Linked DNA regions of Tamandua tetradactyla. The protein of the gene in region 1 purifies or fractionates together with the protein of each later gene. This does not show direct contact. Links are inferred from orthologs where the notes say so. Each region holds a gene or a part of one and is shown on either strand. Other genes may lie near its edges.

Region 1 (7,837 bases):
ATTCCTGGAACACAGAATGAAATCAGTGTCTTCTTAAGACAAATTTCTTTACTATAAATTTCCTTTACTATAAGACTTAAAAGTCTATACATGTCATGACTTGCTCTATTGCCAAGAAGAAAAATACAGTAGGCAGAGTTTCTTAAAATTACTTAATTATGAATTTTGTAGTATACCCATTAATATTTCCTGGAAGTGACCCAAGAAACAGCAGTTCGGGAAATACAGCTGTTAAGAAATGTGTATCTAGATAGAGGAAAATGTTGGGAGATATCTTATGAATCTTACAACTGGAGGTGGTTTTATGGACCTTAAACCTAAAGCAAGAACACTGAAGAAGGAAATAAATAAATGGGAGCTCCTCAAAATTAAACACTTTTGTGCATCAGAGAACTTCATCAAGAAAGTAGAAAGACAGCCTACACAATGGGAGACAATATTTGGAAACGACATATCAGATAAAGGTCTAGTATCCAGAATTTATAAAGAGATTGTTCATCTCAACAACAAAAAGACAGCCAACCCAATTACAAAATGGGAAAAAGACTTGAACAGACACCTCTCAGAAGAGGAAATACGGATGGCCAAGAGGCACATGAAGAGATGCTCAATGTCCCTGGCCATTAGAGAAATGCAAATCAAAACCACAATGAGATATCATCTCACACCCACCAGAATGGCCATTATCAACAAAACAGAAAATGACAAGTGCTGGAGAGGATGCGGAGAAAGAGGCACACTTATCCACTGTTGGTGGGAATGTCAAAGGGTGCAACCACTGTGGAAGGCAGTTTGGCGGTTCCTCAAAAAGCTGAATATAGAATTGCCATACGACCCAGCAATACCATTGCTAGGTATCTACTCAAAGGACTTAAGGGCAAAGACACAAACGGACATTTGCACACCAATGTTTATAGCAGCGTTGTTTGCAATTGCAAAGAGATGGAAACAGCCAAAATCTCCATCAACAGAAGAGTGGCTAAACAAACTGTGGTATATACATACGATGGAATATTATGCAGCTTTAAGACAAGATAAACTTATGAACCATGTAATAACATGGATGGACCTAGAGAATATTATGCTGAGTGAATCCAGCCAAAAACTAAAGGACAAATACTGTATGGTCCCACTGATGTGAACAGACATTCGAGAATAAACTTGAAATATGTCATTGGTAACAGAGTTCAGCAGGAGTTAGAAACAGGGTAAGACAATGGGTAATTGAAGCTGAAGGGATACAGACTGTGCAACAGGACTAGATACAAAAACTCAAAAATGGACAGCACAATAATACCTAATTGTAAAGTAATCATGTTAAAATACTGAATGAAGCTGCATCTGAGCTATAGGGTTTTTTTTGTTTTTGTTTGCTTGTTGGTTTGTTTGTTGTTGTTTTTTTTTACTATTACTACTACTTTTATTTCTTTTCTTTACATTAACATTTTATATCTTTTTCTGTTGTGTTGCTAGTTCCTCTAAACCGATGCAAATGTACTAAGAAACAATGATCATGCATCTATGTGATGATGTTAAGGATTACTGAGTGCATATGTAGAATGGTATGATTTCTAAATGTTGTGTTAATTTCTTTTTTTTTTTCCGTTAATAAAAAATAAAAAAAAATAAAAAATAAAAAAAAAAGAAATGTGTATCTATCTGAGGATGCATTGGAAACTCACTTGCTAAATTCCTTCTTCACCCACAGGGCTACAGCAGCTTGTGGTAAAGGCTGTTCCAGAAAGAGCATACGCATAACCCAGTTCTTAGCTAAAGATGGGAGCTCCCTGTAGAAAGTAGAGGTCAAATGTTATCATCAGAAGCTGATTTATATCTATAATTGCCTCCAAGAACCTCTCAAATATTTCATCTCACCTCCTTACACACACAAATACAAGTCCTTACAAGTGCCGGTGCCCCCCAAATCTCAAAAGTCCATTCGTTTTGGTCTGCCACCCTTTGGAGTAATCTCCAAGAACCCTCAGGGTTAACTTATTCCAGTCTGCAGGCTCCCATTACATTTCCCCACCATGGTCCTTGCCATGAAGAGGTCCTCACCTGAAGACAGCCAGACAGGTGGCAGGGTGCCCATACAATCGGTCCAATACCCCTGGGCTCAAACCCCCTAAGAATTCCTGCAGGTTCCGGCATTGTAGGTGTACTCGGTTCAGTCCACCCCGTGTGGGGGTGCTCTCCATCACCTGAGAGACGCCAAATATTAGAAGCACATCCCCACCATCCATGACTATGTCTCCCCTCACCTTTCTCATCAGAATTCCAGATCCCTCCACCCCTACCCCCACCCTAAATAACCCAGGTTTTCTGTGGCTCCCTCTTCCATATGCCACTCATCTCATGTTACTTCAAAATCTGACCAGCCTCCTCTCCTTTCCTGCCTCCTCAACCCACTTCTGTCCTCAACTTCAGTCTTCTCTGTTTCCAGGTGACAGAATTAATGATCATTTTGTATTTCAATGACTTGTCTTATCTTTAATTGAGCAGTTGAGCCCGATTTGCTTTCATCCCAGCCCCTCCTGGCCAGATCAACCTGTGAGATGCAAATCTGTCAGTCCTTCCCACCTTCTATTTCTTCGCCCTGCGTCTCTTGCTAAGCATCACAATAAACTACCTCTGCCCTCCATGTCTCGCCAATCGAATTCCACCTTTCTCCCTCCCCCCCAAGTCTCTTTCACCCCATTCACTCTGACCCCACACCGTCCTATGTCCTAACTTTTCCTCTACTTTCCTCCCACTCCGCGCCTTTCACCCAACTCTGCCTGATACCTCCGCCACCCCACCTTCCCAGGGCTGCCTCACCACTTTGTTGATCCCACCTCGTGCACCCCGAGTCTCGAGCGGTCGCTTAATCGGAGCCAATGTTTCGCAGTAGCTCCTGGGAATAGGGGAAAGAATGGTGAAAAATACGAGAAAAAAAAAATGGGGAGAAGAACGAAAGACTCCACAGACAGGAGCCGAGAGGGACGGATTCAGAAGAGGAGTGGAAAAGTGGAAAGGCAAGAATAAGTGCTGCACCCGCCTGTCGCGGGGCATGCTGGGAATTGGAGTCTGGTCCTCGCTCGCTCCCATCGGGCTCGCACGCGCATGACTACAACTCCCGACAGGCACCGCGGAGAAGCGAGCCGGGGAGAGGCTGGTTTTAATGGAGAGAGCCGAGGACGCCAGGCCGGGCCGATTGGTTCCGCTGCTCACTCCGCCCACGCTGATAACGGCGCTGCTCACCGGCCTTAGCGGGAGGCGGGACCCGGGAGTAGATGGGCCGCTTGGAGGAAGCGCGCTGAGATGCGGCGGCGGTGAGACGCTTAGGCTTATAGATACACGAAACTGGGTTCCTTGAGCTCATTTACACCCCCCTAAAATTGTCATAAAGCACACTCCTAAAGTGTTTTCGCGAGTTAGGTGTTAACACGACCCATTACGCCTTACTTGGCATGTAAATCTTAATTTCCACCTCCACCACGCTTACACCGTTTATTAGAAGGTCCTGATAAATACAATTTCTTAAAGAAGCCAGTCGTTTGCTCTGATTTGATTTTCGAACCTACTGCAGGGAAAGGGAAAGGAATGTCTTCAGTCGAGACCAGAGCTACGCGTTTCCCCAAGTTTCTGTGAGGCGACCTTTGTTCTTTCCACTTTACAGACGAGAAAACCCAAGCTCAGCGAGATGAAGAAATTTGCCCACGTATGAGACAGCTACGAAGTGATGAGGCTGGGTTTTGAGACGCGTTTACAAGGAAGCGAGGGACCGAAGACCAAAATGCTAAGGACAGCCTAAGACTTCGTTAGCCTTTGCAGCTGGTACATGTTATCTTCTTGTTCCCTGTTTCTGTGGCAGTCAGTGTTTAAAATCCTCAAAGCATGACAGAGAACTGATAAAGCTTCTTTATGGCACAAGGTAAAGAAAGTCAAAATACAAATTATAGCCTGGGAAGAAATGTTTGATAAAACAGATAAAATGCAGAAAACTTACAGAGCAGTAAGAAAAAGGAACAGTGCAATGAAAAGATCTGCAAAAGAGAGGAACAGGCAAAAAGCAGAAGAAATACAAATGCCTTATAAATAGAGGAACAATTTGCAGCTTCACTAGTAATTAAGGAAAAGTAAATTATGAAACAAAATATGGTAAATTAAAGAGACAATAAAATGTCAGATTAGGAAAAAAATGAAGTTAAGGGTTGACAACGTCAGTGCTGGCCAGGATGTAAGAGCATACACATACACTTGTGTTGAAGATTGGCATATGCACGCCTTTTTAAGGGTAATGTGGCAGTATCTAGCAATATTTTAATGTGACTTAGCAACTCCAGCTTTAAGGATATATCACACTGAAGTTCTCCCACATGGGTGCAGGAATATACATGCAGAGATGTTTAGTGAGGCATGTTTGTTGTTGTATTATGAAAGCAATGGAAACAACCCAGATGTCTGCCCTCGGGGTCGGTTATATAAAACGTGCATAGTCCCAACAATGTAAGATACTGGGCAACACTTTGAAAGGAGGCCAGGTATATTTAGTGGCCTGGAGCTATCTATGGCCTATCAGCAAGGGGAGAAAAGCAGATTACAAAATGGTGTACATAAATTAATGGCACCTTTGTAAACAGATTTTAGGCATGTGTAAAACTGAAAGGCCATTTGGTTCGTTTTGGAGGGAGCAGACAAAGGCCAACTGGGCAGACCTCTTGGCGAGCCCTGCTCTACGGGATGCAGTGGGTGAGGGCAAGATGTCCAGTGGCAGGAACTGAGCACATAACTGTTCCTGGAACTGAACTTAAGGAAGAAAATCAGCTTGCTGGGCCTGACAGGGGGCCTGGGGGCTGAAATTGTGGAAGGAGCTCCCTGATAGAGGGTTGTCCAGTCTGTGCTTGGAAATGCCCTGCTATGGAGAGCTCACAACCTCCTCCCAACAGACAGCTTCCTGGACAGAAAGAACATAGAGCCACCCTTTAGCATGCTTCCCACCCAGTGCCGCCATCTGCTGGCTATGCAAGTTTAGGCATGTTGCTTAACCTAATACTCTTCATTGTGAAATAAGTAGGATACCTAACAAATATTCATCATCATTACTGATTTCTATAACTTTCACGTATTGACCCTGGTTCCCTAGCTACACAGAGTAATCCAATCCCTTATATTAACCTTTAGATATTTGACAAAAGTTCTTTCTTTCAACCAGTATTTACTGATACCTTTCAACCAGTATTTACTGAACTTGCCCTTGTGGAGCTTAGTCTAGTGGGAAAGGCAGGTATAAGAAAGTATATGTGCACAAATACATGTAAAATCGCACCTGTAAAAGTGCTACAAAGAAGAGATTGATGGGCTCTGAGAGTATCAGTAGAGGATTTGACCTGGTTAGGGAGGTGAGGTACGGCTGCTGAAGGGCAAGTAGAAGTTAACAGGACAAAGACAGCAGGCACGGTCCAGCTGAAGGAATAGCATGCTACAAAGGCTCTGGGCAGGAGGAACTGTGACATGTTGGAAGAGCTGAAAGAAGGCTAGGGATGCCTAGAGGAGAGGTCAGAGAAGGACTCTAGAGAGGTAGGTGTGTGTGGCCCACACTTGGCCAGAAGATGTTATTTTTTATTCTAAGATCAATGGTTTTGAAATAAAGGAGCAGAGTCGGACATGTGTGTTTTGTTTTGTTTTTTAATTACTCTGGCTGCAGTGCCAAAAGGAAACCACAGCGGAACAGGAGCAGATCTGGGGGTGACCGGCTAGGAGACTGCAGCGGTTCAGGCAAGAGGGCGGTAGCCCGTGTCGGGACAATGATGGAGATGGTGGGAAATGAATGAGTTAAAGGGAAACTGGGGCAGCATAATCAACAAGTCTTCATGGACAGACTGGACTTGGGAAGTGAGAGTAAGGGGGGAGGAGGTGTTAAGAAGAACTGCCTGGTTTCTGGCTTGTCCAGTTGAGTGGATGATGATTTACTGAGTCAAGAAACCAGGGAGGAGGAACAGGTTTGGACATGCTGAAATTGACATTCAAATAAACTTCAGGTGGTTATTGAGGTCTAGAGCTCAAAAGAGAGTTCCAGGCTTACCGCTATGGCTTCCATTGCTCGCCGTTCTGGGTCTGGCCTTGAAACTCCAACCTGTGGGCGCCCGTCTTAAATTGTGGTACACAGTGGTCTGACCTGTGTAGGTTTCAGTAGGACTGTTAGACCTGACCCCCGAGAGCCTGTTCATTCAACGTAAGACTAAAGTATCTTTTATTGGTGTGCTCATTATCCAGTTGACTCGCTTTGAGAATAGCATCAACCAAATACCCCAGGGTCTTTATTTCTCATGAACTGCTAGCAATACGTGTCTGCCCAGTCCGATACTTGCAACTATTTTTGGTGGCTGTTTTTTTTTTATTTATTATTATTTTTTTACCTCCTCCCTTTCCAGCCAAATCTGTACTCTTTGTTAAATGCTCTCTTGGTGGTTGTGACTCATCCTTCCAGGCCTCTGAGATAATTTAGGCTCTGGGTTCTGGCTTCTATCCAAACAGTTCGAACCTATTGGGCTATTTGTACAGTTCATCAGCCTAATCTAAATTAGGCTGGACTTCACCTGGACCTCCCAGATCCTGAGAGGGTCCTAGAATTTGGGTAAGAAAAAAAGGTTACACCTTTGTTTTTCCTAACCTCTGACTGAAACACTTCCTTCAATTATGAACATAGAAAACCCCACTGAAAATCAGTACCTGTGGCTTGTCACTAATAGGACATCACAGGTATTTTTATATCTCATTACAGCTGTTGTGGAACTCTCAAAATATTCTTCATGCTCATGGGCACATGAAAATGTCAGCAGTTAGCACAACTCCTGCTGGATGTTAATATTAAATATATTTAAAAGAAACATATACTACTGCATCACCTTTCAAAAAACATTTTGGTAACTGTTTCAATTAGTTTTCCTTGTAATCCTATGTATTTGTCTTATGGGTTTTAAAAGTATGATTCTGAAGAAGAATCCGGAGGCCTCTGCAGAGTGCCCAAGGGGTCCGAGGCACAGTAAAGGTTAGGGACCCCTGGCCTAATCCACCTCCCCAACCAGTGTGGGGGCCAGGTCTCCCACAGAGCACTGCCCGCTTCCCTCCTGGTTCACACGTCCACACATGCATGCATTCTAATCCACCTCCCCAACCAGTGTGGGGGCCGGGTCTCCCGCAGAGCACTGCCCGCTTCCCTCCTGGCTCACACGTCCACACATGCATGCATTCTCCCGAGGTCCCACAGGCAAGGGTCTGGGTTATATAGAAATAGAACCCAATACCGGGCAAACAGGTAGTTGGAAATGGGATGGGGAGGGGATGGAAAAGAGATGAGGGAAGCAAAGGAAATGGGTTGAGGGGGGTGAGGGGTACTGGAGGCAGGTTTTACTGAAACCTCAAAAAACCCAACACACAGCTGTGGAAAACTCAACCTTTATTATTACCTGCCTAGCGCAGGGGATTAAAATTGCCTCAGCTAGGTCCATATATTAGTGTAAAAATCTGTGTCTCTCCCCCCAAAAATGTACAAACCCCAAGTGATTATAGAAAAACCAATGTGGCAGCTACTATAGAGATGTCCGTCCCCAGGGCCGTTGCTCCCTCTCTCCCCCTAATCCCAGTATTTATTCCACAGAAACATACAGGCGTAGAGAAATTCTAACTCCAACAGGGCAGGTGGGAAGCAGGGATAGTTGAGGGGTGGGAGCAGGGATTGCCCCAGGTCCAGTGTTTTAGGGGAGGGAGGAGGGAGAAGCCAATGTAGAGGACAATTCCAGAAGTGGGCGCAAGGGAACATCTTCCTCCTTTTCTTGTCCTCCTTGCCCCACACATT
Region 2 (7,842 bases), on another chromosome or scaffold:
ATTAATAAAAGAAAATACAAGGCAAAAAAACAAACAAACAAAAATTTTAAAGCCACATACTCTAAGCCAACAAATCCACTCCTAATCATTTATCCTATCATTTACATACTATATCTGATAATATACTTGCATTAGTGCTCAGAGATGTATGTCTAAGAATGTTTACTCGGGTGAAAAAACTGGAAACCTAAATGTTCACCCAAAAAATGATTGGTTAAATTGTAATATAACTGAACAATGGAATACTATCTAACAGTTAAAATTAAAAGACATTCATGGTGTTTTAGAAAGATATTCAACTTAATGAAAAAGCAAGGATACAATATGATCTCACTTATGCTTGGGTAAGAAGTTTTTCTATCTAAACACACGCACATGATTGTATACACATAAAAATTGTCCAGAAAGCTACACGAGCAATTTAGAAATTGTTAGTTCTAAAGAAGTGAGCCAGAGGGCGGGCCATGGTGGCTCAGTAGGCAGAGTTCTCGCCTGACATGCCGGAGACCTGGGTTTGATTCCCAGTGCCTGCCCACGCCAAAAAAAAAGGAAAATAAAGAAGTGAGCCAGAGAAATTTTACTCTTCACTTAATACTCTTATGTTGCTTTAACTATTAATTGCTTATGTGCATTTTTAAATTTTTTAACGAATTATAAAAAAAAGTAAGTAAGCGCTCTCCTACAATCAATGAGCAGAATTTTAGCCTAGATTAAGGTCTTCTTAGTAAGGACAATGAAACAGAAAACATGCTGAAGAGTTAATATTAAGAAAATTACAATAAGACCATTATAATTAAAGCTACATTTTCATAGTCTATTGAATCCATTTAAAGATAATCATTGTTATACAAATCTTTCATAGGAAGCCAAATGACTCCTGTTTTAGTTTCATTACCGGATATTACCCATACCACCCACAAATAATATGATAATACGCTAATCAATATATATCGAACACCAACTAGATGACAGATACTCCACTAAATATCTCCAAATGTTTTACAAAGATTATTTAATTCTCAAACATTGTGATACAGGTAGTACTGTATTATCTCTATTTTACAAATAAGAAAAATGAGGCACAAGGCATTAACTTGCCCAAATCCTCAGAGAGGAAAATATTCAAAATCAAGCAGACTGATTCCAGAATTTGTTCTCTTAGCCAATACCCTAGAATGGCATTTTGAATGACCCTTTACTTTAGTATATATTCTCTTGAAGTCAGGAGATAATCTTTTATTCATTTTCTTCATATTTCAAGTCAAAAAACGACTGCAAAGTGTGGTCTGTACCTAGTACGTTAAAAATAAATCAAAATAAATGCAACACCAGAATCAATTAGATAACTTTTACCCTTATGAGAAAATAAAAAGGACTAAGGACACAAATGGAAGCAATTTCCAATTAAAACTAATTTTATAACTGTCTAATTACTATACGATTGATTTTACTGAAATCCCATAATCTTCCCTCATAAGCTAACTGCTGCTAGGCAGAAATTTCTTCCAGTCAATTACATTAATTAGCATTTCAAAAGAACAAAACAGGGGTGCACTAGTGGTTCAGTGGTAGAATGCTCACCTTCCATATGGGAGACCCGGACCATGCACCTCCCTCCCCTACCCCCACCCCCTCAAAAAAAAGAACAAAACATCTGGTCATCTACCTTTCCTTTAACATCAGTTGCAACAAATCTGATACTAGAAAATGGAGAAAAATAAAATGAAAACTTAATAGACTAATACTTAATAAGACTAAAAACTTAACAGTCTATCTGGACTGCTTGTTTTACTTCCCTTTTCCATACATTCTACTCGACTGTTTTTACCTTGTTTCTAACCTTAAACCATTCAGTCACAGCTCTACTGTACTTCCCCTACTGGATAACGCAAAGAAAATAAAGATTAATTACAAAAAGGAACCAATTGAGTTAATAAATTCCATTATAATTATTATAATTACAACTAATCATGCAACTTATGCTTACCTAAAGACCTTGTCTATAATACGGCAACTTATTCATCATCGAGCAACTGCAGGAACATGACATATGTTCCCGTCATATTGTAGATTTGATCCCAAAGTGCTTCACAGACAAGCACCTTCCTGAACCACGTCTGACCTTAAAAACTTGGGAAGGCACACTTTGACCCATTCCTGCACGGATGATTCAAAACACAGACGTTAAACCTCCCTCCTTCTCCCAGCTGCGCAAAACCAACCCCCCCCCCAAAAAAAAGTGGGCGTTCTGGAACCAGACTTCCGGGGTTCCAATTCCAGCAGCGCCCACTTAATAACTGGCCTTGAGTCGTCTCGACTTATTTCCCTCTGAAATGGGAAGAGCAGTCCCTACTTCGCAGGGCTCCTGGGGGAATGAAGTGAGCTAAGGCGTGGAAAAGCGCTCAAAACCGTGCCGGGTACCGGGAGGGCGCTCGGCGAAGACCAGCCTTTACTAAGCCTCCCCCATTCTCCCTGCTGGGCGGTAAGGGTCTAACCCGAGCCCGTCGGGACAAGACGCGGTTTTCAGAACAACTCGTACAATGCGACGAGCTGCAGCACACGGCAGGGTCATTTCCACTTTCCTAGCGCGTTCGCTCTTTAAGAAGAAAAGCGCTCCCTGTGACACTCCCCTCGCTTCCCCCCGCGCTGCGTCTGGGATCCCGGTGGCCGCCCAGAGCCCGGGAGCACCGTCGCCTAGCAGAGACCCGCCCAACCGCCGGCGACCGGCGGCCGCAGCCCTGCAGGCCCGGGCGGTTCGGAAGGCCAAGCTCGCTGTCCCCGCTCTCCCGCTCCGTGTCCGCACCGCGGACGCCCCGCGCCCGGCGCCGGGGCCGCCATCCCTCAGCCTCGCCGCCCGCCCCGCGCGGCCCTCCCGCCGCCGCCCCACTCACAGCGTGTGTCCGCACACGTTCACCATCAGCTTCAAGGAGGGGTTCCGGTACTTGGTGGTCTTACACCGGGGGCAGCCCTGGTCGTCCATGGCGCCTTCTCGCCGACCGACGCTCCCCGCCGCCGGCTTCGGCCACACGCGCTGCCACAGGTCCCGCCGGTCCCGACGCCCGGCGGCTTCCTACCCGCAGGCGCTCGGCAGGAACGGGTCCTTCGGAAAGGGGCACCGGCGAGAACCCGGCACCGCGGCACGGGCGTTCCGGAAGCCAGGTCTCCGGCTCTGCAGCCGGGGGTCGAGCTTAGCCTTCCGGAAGCAGCGCAATATTTTGGATTTCGGGGGTAAAAAGTTTAAAGGCAAATGGTATACAAAGTCTCATCTCTGTGCATTTAGTCTCATGTGCAAGTACGGAGTCATAATTAGGGAGATAAATTGCATCGATCTATCAGGAAACATTCCCATGATTTCATGTATACATGTGCCTGGAGTCTTCATAATTAAGAGTGATATTTTCTTTTGAACAGTTTCAGCCTGTGCTTTATACTTTTCCTTTATACTTGCAAAGCTATGCAAGCACAGAAAATACTCTGCATTTGCAGATATGAAAAGTTTGGACAAGTTATCTAGAACAGTCATCTCTGCAAAGACCCTAAATATTACAGATTCTCACTAAACGTCAGAATACTTATACAAACAATGTGTCATATGCTCTTCAGAGAGCCCCTTGTCTCAAGGTTGTCAAATATGCCTAATGGTGTCACGTGACCCTAGTATTCCCCACCCCCCTCAGACAACAGTTATTTCCCCCCAAATACTGAAAAGGAAAATAAACCCTATGAGAATGCACAAAACTTTATTTGAGCATTTCCAGGATATGAGAACCTGAATCTCTTTGGAAATTGTAAGCCACCATTCATTACATTTATCAAAGTCTATAAACAGCTGTAATAGATTAAAAAAAAAAAAAACTTCCCACTATAAATAAAGGACATCTTATTCACCTCCATAACAGATACTCAACAAGGATTTGTTGATGCTTATTAAATAAGCAGAGTAAATGAAGAATGAAAGACCAGAAAATAACAGTGTAATGCAAAGTTTTTTATGCCAAGCATAATCTTATAGTCACATTCATCTAACACAAATTCCACCAGGACAAACAGGCATACTTTTTTCAAATTAACCCGTACAATGAATAGCAGCTGCACACACTCAGTAATTTTAACTTTTCATAGCACTTTCACTTGTTTCAATAAAAACAAAAAGGAACACTCCAACTCACAAACTTTTCAACACTGAACCCAGCTGGTAACCGATAAGCAGGAAAAACAATTGGGATTTCAGGGGTGTGAAGGGGGGAGCTTGACAAACAGCTGGATGCCACATCTGGGAACCAGCAATTCAAAGCAGGCCAGGGCAGAGCAGGGCTTTATATTAGTATAGGACATCCAGGGATTCACCCAATAAATTAGCCATGTCATCTCCTTGATCATAAAATTTTTCATTAAGAGGAGCTAAGAAACTGTAAGTTTAATAAAATAGGCAGCCCCGAATGCTACGTTGACCTAGAATTTTATTGTGCTTCTACTGACATATTGAAAGAAGCATAACGTCTTATTGAAAGACAGTACATTGTTTCATCCCAACCAGCTGCATGACTCAGAGTGAAGTTCTCCAAGAACAAAAGCAACTTTTAAGAGCTTTATATTTTAACAGAGCAGGAAACTCCTGGGGACAGAATGAATATGGTCAGTAAGCAAATAAAATTTTGAACCAATGCTACATTAAGAAGTCATCCACTCAGTTGGCATTATTGTTTAATACCACCAGGACACTTTCAATCAGGTTTTTACACAGGTGACTTCAAGCACATTGTGAAGTGAATTGCTTTTGGTTTCTCCCAAGCTTTGAGATCAAGATAAAGAAAGCAGGAGTGCAGCTGGCTGGGAGGGGACTGTAAGAGGAAACACTGCTACTAGCTTTATCCTGTTCTCAGATGGTAAACTACAACCAGGGAGCATTGGTGGTTACAGCTGACTTGGACCTATTAGACAAGATTTACCTAAGGTGCTGGAGGCAGTATTTAGTACTTAGAAATTTGGCATCTGGCACCAAGAGAGCTGGATTCAAGTGCTGGCTTCTTTATTTACCAGCCATGTGACCTTGGGCTTCAGCTGGAGATAAAAATTAAATGAGAGGGTGCACAGGGCTTCAGCTGGAGACAAAAATTAAATGAGAGGGTGCACAGGTGGTTCAGTGGTAGAATGCTCACCTTCCATGCAGGAGACCCAGGTTCGATTCCCAGACCATGCACCCCCCCCAAAAAAAAATTAAATTATATATTTCATTAAAAGCTCTTACCACAACAAAGCTACAGTAAAGAAAACAGCATGCACTGGCACAAGGACAGATGTACAGACAAATGAAATCAAATTGGGAGTTCAGAAATAAATCCTCCAACCTAAACCTATGGCCAACTGATTTTTGACAAAGAGGCCACCACATCCACTCAGTGGGTAAAGAACAGTCTGTTTAGCAAATGTTGCTGGGAAACATGCATATCCATATGCAAAACAATGAAAGGGGACCCCTACCTCACATCATATACAAAAATTAACTCAAAATTGATCAAAAACCTAAGTATAAGAACCAAAACTATAAAATTCTAGGGAAATATCTTCATGACTTTGTGTTAGGCAGTGGTTTCTTAGACTTTACACCAAAAGAACAAGCAACAAAAGAAAAAATACATAAATGGGACTTCATCAAAATTTAAACCATTTGAGCATCAAAGAACTTTATCAAGAAAGTAAAAAAGAAAACCCACAGAATGAGAGGAAATATTTGGAAACTATTTATCTAACAAGGTTTTAGTATTCAGAATATATAAAGAACCCCTACGATTTGACAACAAAAAAAGACCAACACCCAATTTTAAAATGGGGAAAAGATTTGAGTGGACATTTCTCAAAAAAAGACATATAAATGGCCAAAAAGCACATGAAAAGATACTCAACATCATTAGCTATCAGGGAAATGCAAATCATAACCACAATGAGATTCCGTTTCACACCCACTAAAATGGTTACTATTAAAAAAACAAAACACAAATGTTGGACAGGATGTAAAGAAATAGGAACCCTCATACTTTGCTGATGGAGATGTAAAATGGTGCAGCTACTGTGGAAAACAGCTTGGCAATGCCTCAGAAAGTTAAACTTAGAATTACCGTATGTCCCAGCAACTCCACTTTTAGGGACTACCCAAAAGAACTGAAAGCCAGGACTCGAACAGTTATTTGCACATCAATGTTCATAATGGCATTATTCACAATTGCCAAAAAGTGGAAGTAATCCAAGTGTCCGTTGCTGAATGAATAAAAAAAATGGATATGTATATACCACATATATTATTTGTCCATAAGAAAAGAATGAAGCTATGCATGCTTGAAATCATCATGCTGAGTGAAATAAGCCAGATACAAAAAGATAAATGTTGTATGATCTCACATATGAAAAAAGCAGAATATGCAAATTTATAAATTCAGAACCTAGAATACAGGTTACCTGGAGCCCCGCGGAGATGGGTAATGGGGACTTAATGTTTAATTGTTTGTGGAGTTTCAGTTTGAGGTGATGCAGAAGTGCTGACAATGAAGATGGTGATAGATTCACAGCTTTGTGAATGTAATCAACACCATGAATTGTATACTTCCGAGTATATTAAATGGGAAAATTTTAGATTATATATAAATTACAAGAAAAGAAATAAAACTGTACAACACAAAGAGTTAGCCCTAATGTAAACTATGGGTTATATTTACTAGTGTAATTATAATAATAATGTTTCATCAGTTTTAACAAAGGTATCATACTAATTGTTAATGAAAATTAACATACAAATCATTAATAACAGAGAAAATTGTGCATGAGAGAGGGCGTGTATGGGAAGTCTATACTGTGTGCATGATTTTTCTCTGAACCAACACTGCTCTAAAAATAAATAAACCCAAAAAAGAATTGCTTAGCATAGTACCTAGCACAGAGGAAGCGCTCAATAACTGTTAGTTAATAAATACTAGTAGTACTATCTAAAACAGGCCATATAGTGCAATAGGAAGAGTCTGGGCTTCTTTGAAAGGAGACAGACCTGAGTTTAAGCCAGATCGTTTATCCTCTTTCAACCTCAGATTCCTTCCTCCATATAATACACTTCACTGTGCTGTTGTGATGACTAAATTACATACTGTGCGTGCCTCACATGTAATAGGAACTTTGAAATGTGCACCATTATTCCTGGCACATTTCACTAACATAGAATGGTCAAAGAGCTTTGAGGAGGAAAGCACTAAAATACCAGATTTCAGATTCATGAATTTTGAAAGTGTGGTAAAATTCTAAACCCAAATAAACCTCAGCCAATGTAGAAAAACCAGCAAGCCATCAAATTTACTACATTTCTGAAGACAGCTGTGTCTGAACAGTGGGCCAATTGGAATCCATTATTTCTCTTCCTGCATCTCTGCATCTCTCTCAGTTAGCAGTCAGTTCTTCTTCCCAGGGACGCTGTTTCCCAAGCGCTGATGGTGGTTTCCAAGGCTGCCGACTTCAGAGGAGGAAAGTGTCCCTTTCCTCATCTGAAAGTAGGTAGGCTCTCCTCATCTGAAGAGGACATTTATTGTTTGCCCCTTGATTAGCAATAGCAACCCCCATCCCTTCTTTTGGAAAATAGCTCCTCACCCACACAGCTGGTGGTTCTGTTGGGACTACCCCATCACAAGGCTAGCCTTTCAGCCCACAGGTTGACACACAACCCTTCTGAACCCATCAAAGACCGTCCCAGGAATTTGTCAAATGGAAGTAAGGTAAAAGACTCTTTACTTATAATAAATCTTACCTTCCCATTAGATTTTAAACTTCTCAGGGTCAGGGACTCCAACACATTCAGCTTTCTAT

Evidence for each region.
Region 2: the proteins of GTF2H4 (region 1) and MNAT1 purify together in Homo sapiens (co-immunoprecipitation; 3 studies listed by BioGRID and IntAct, with this or other methods). This does not show direct contact. The link is inferred for Tamandua tetradactyla from reciprocal best matches to the Homo sapiens genes GTF2H4 and MNAT1.

What each region holds. Positions count from the first base shown.
Region 1 is NC_135331.1:85,836,136-85,843,972, reverse strand, and holds the start of GTF2H4 (general transcription factor IIH subunit 4), read right to left. Parts: upstream 3,066-7,837; 5' UTR 3,052-3,065; coding exon 2,818-3,051; intron 2,202-2,817; coding exon 2,059-2,201; intron 1,788-2,058; coding exon 1,683-1,787; intron 1-1,682. UniProt on the Homo sapiens protein: Component of the general transcription and DNA repair factor IIH (TFIIH) core complex, which is involved in general and transcription-coupled nucleotide excision repair (NER) of damaged DNA and, when complexed to CAK, in RNA transcription by RNA polymerase II.
Region 2 is NC_135338.1:4,164,960-4,172,801, forward strand, and holds the start of MNAT1 (CDK-activating kinase assembly factor MAT1), read right to left. Parts: upstream 3,084-7,842; 5' UTR 2,981-3,083; coding exon 2,892-2,980; intron 1-2,891.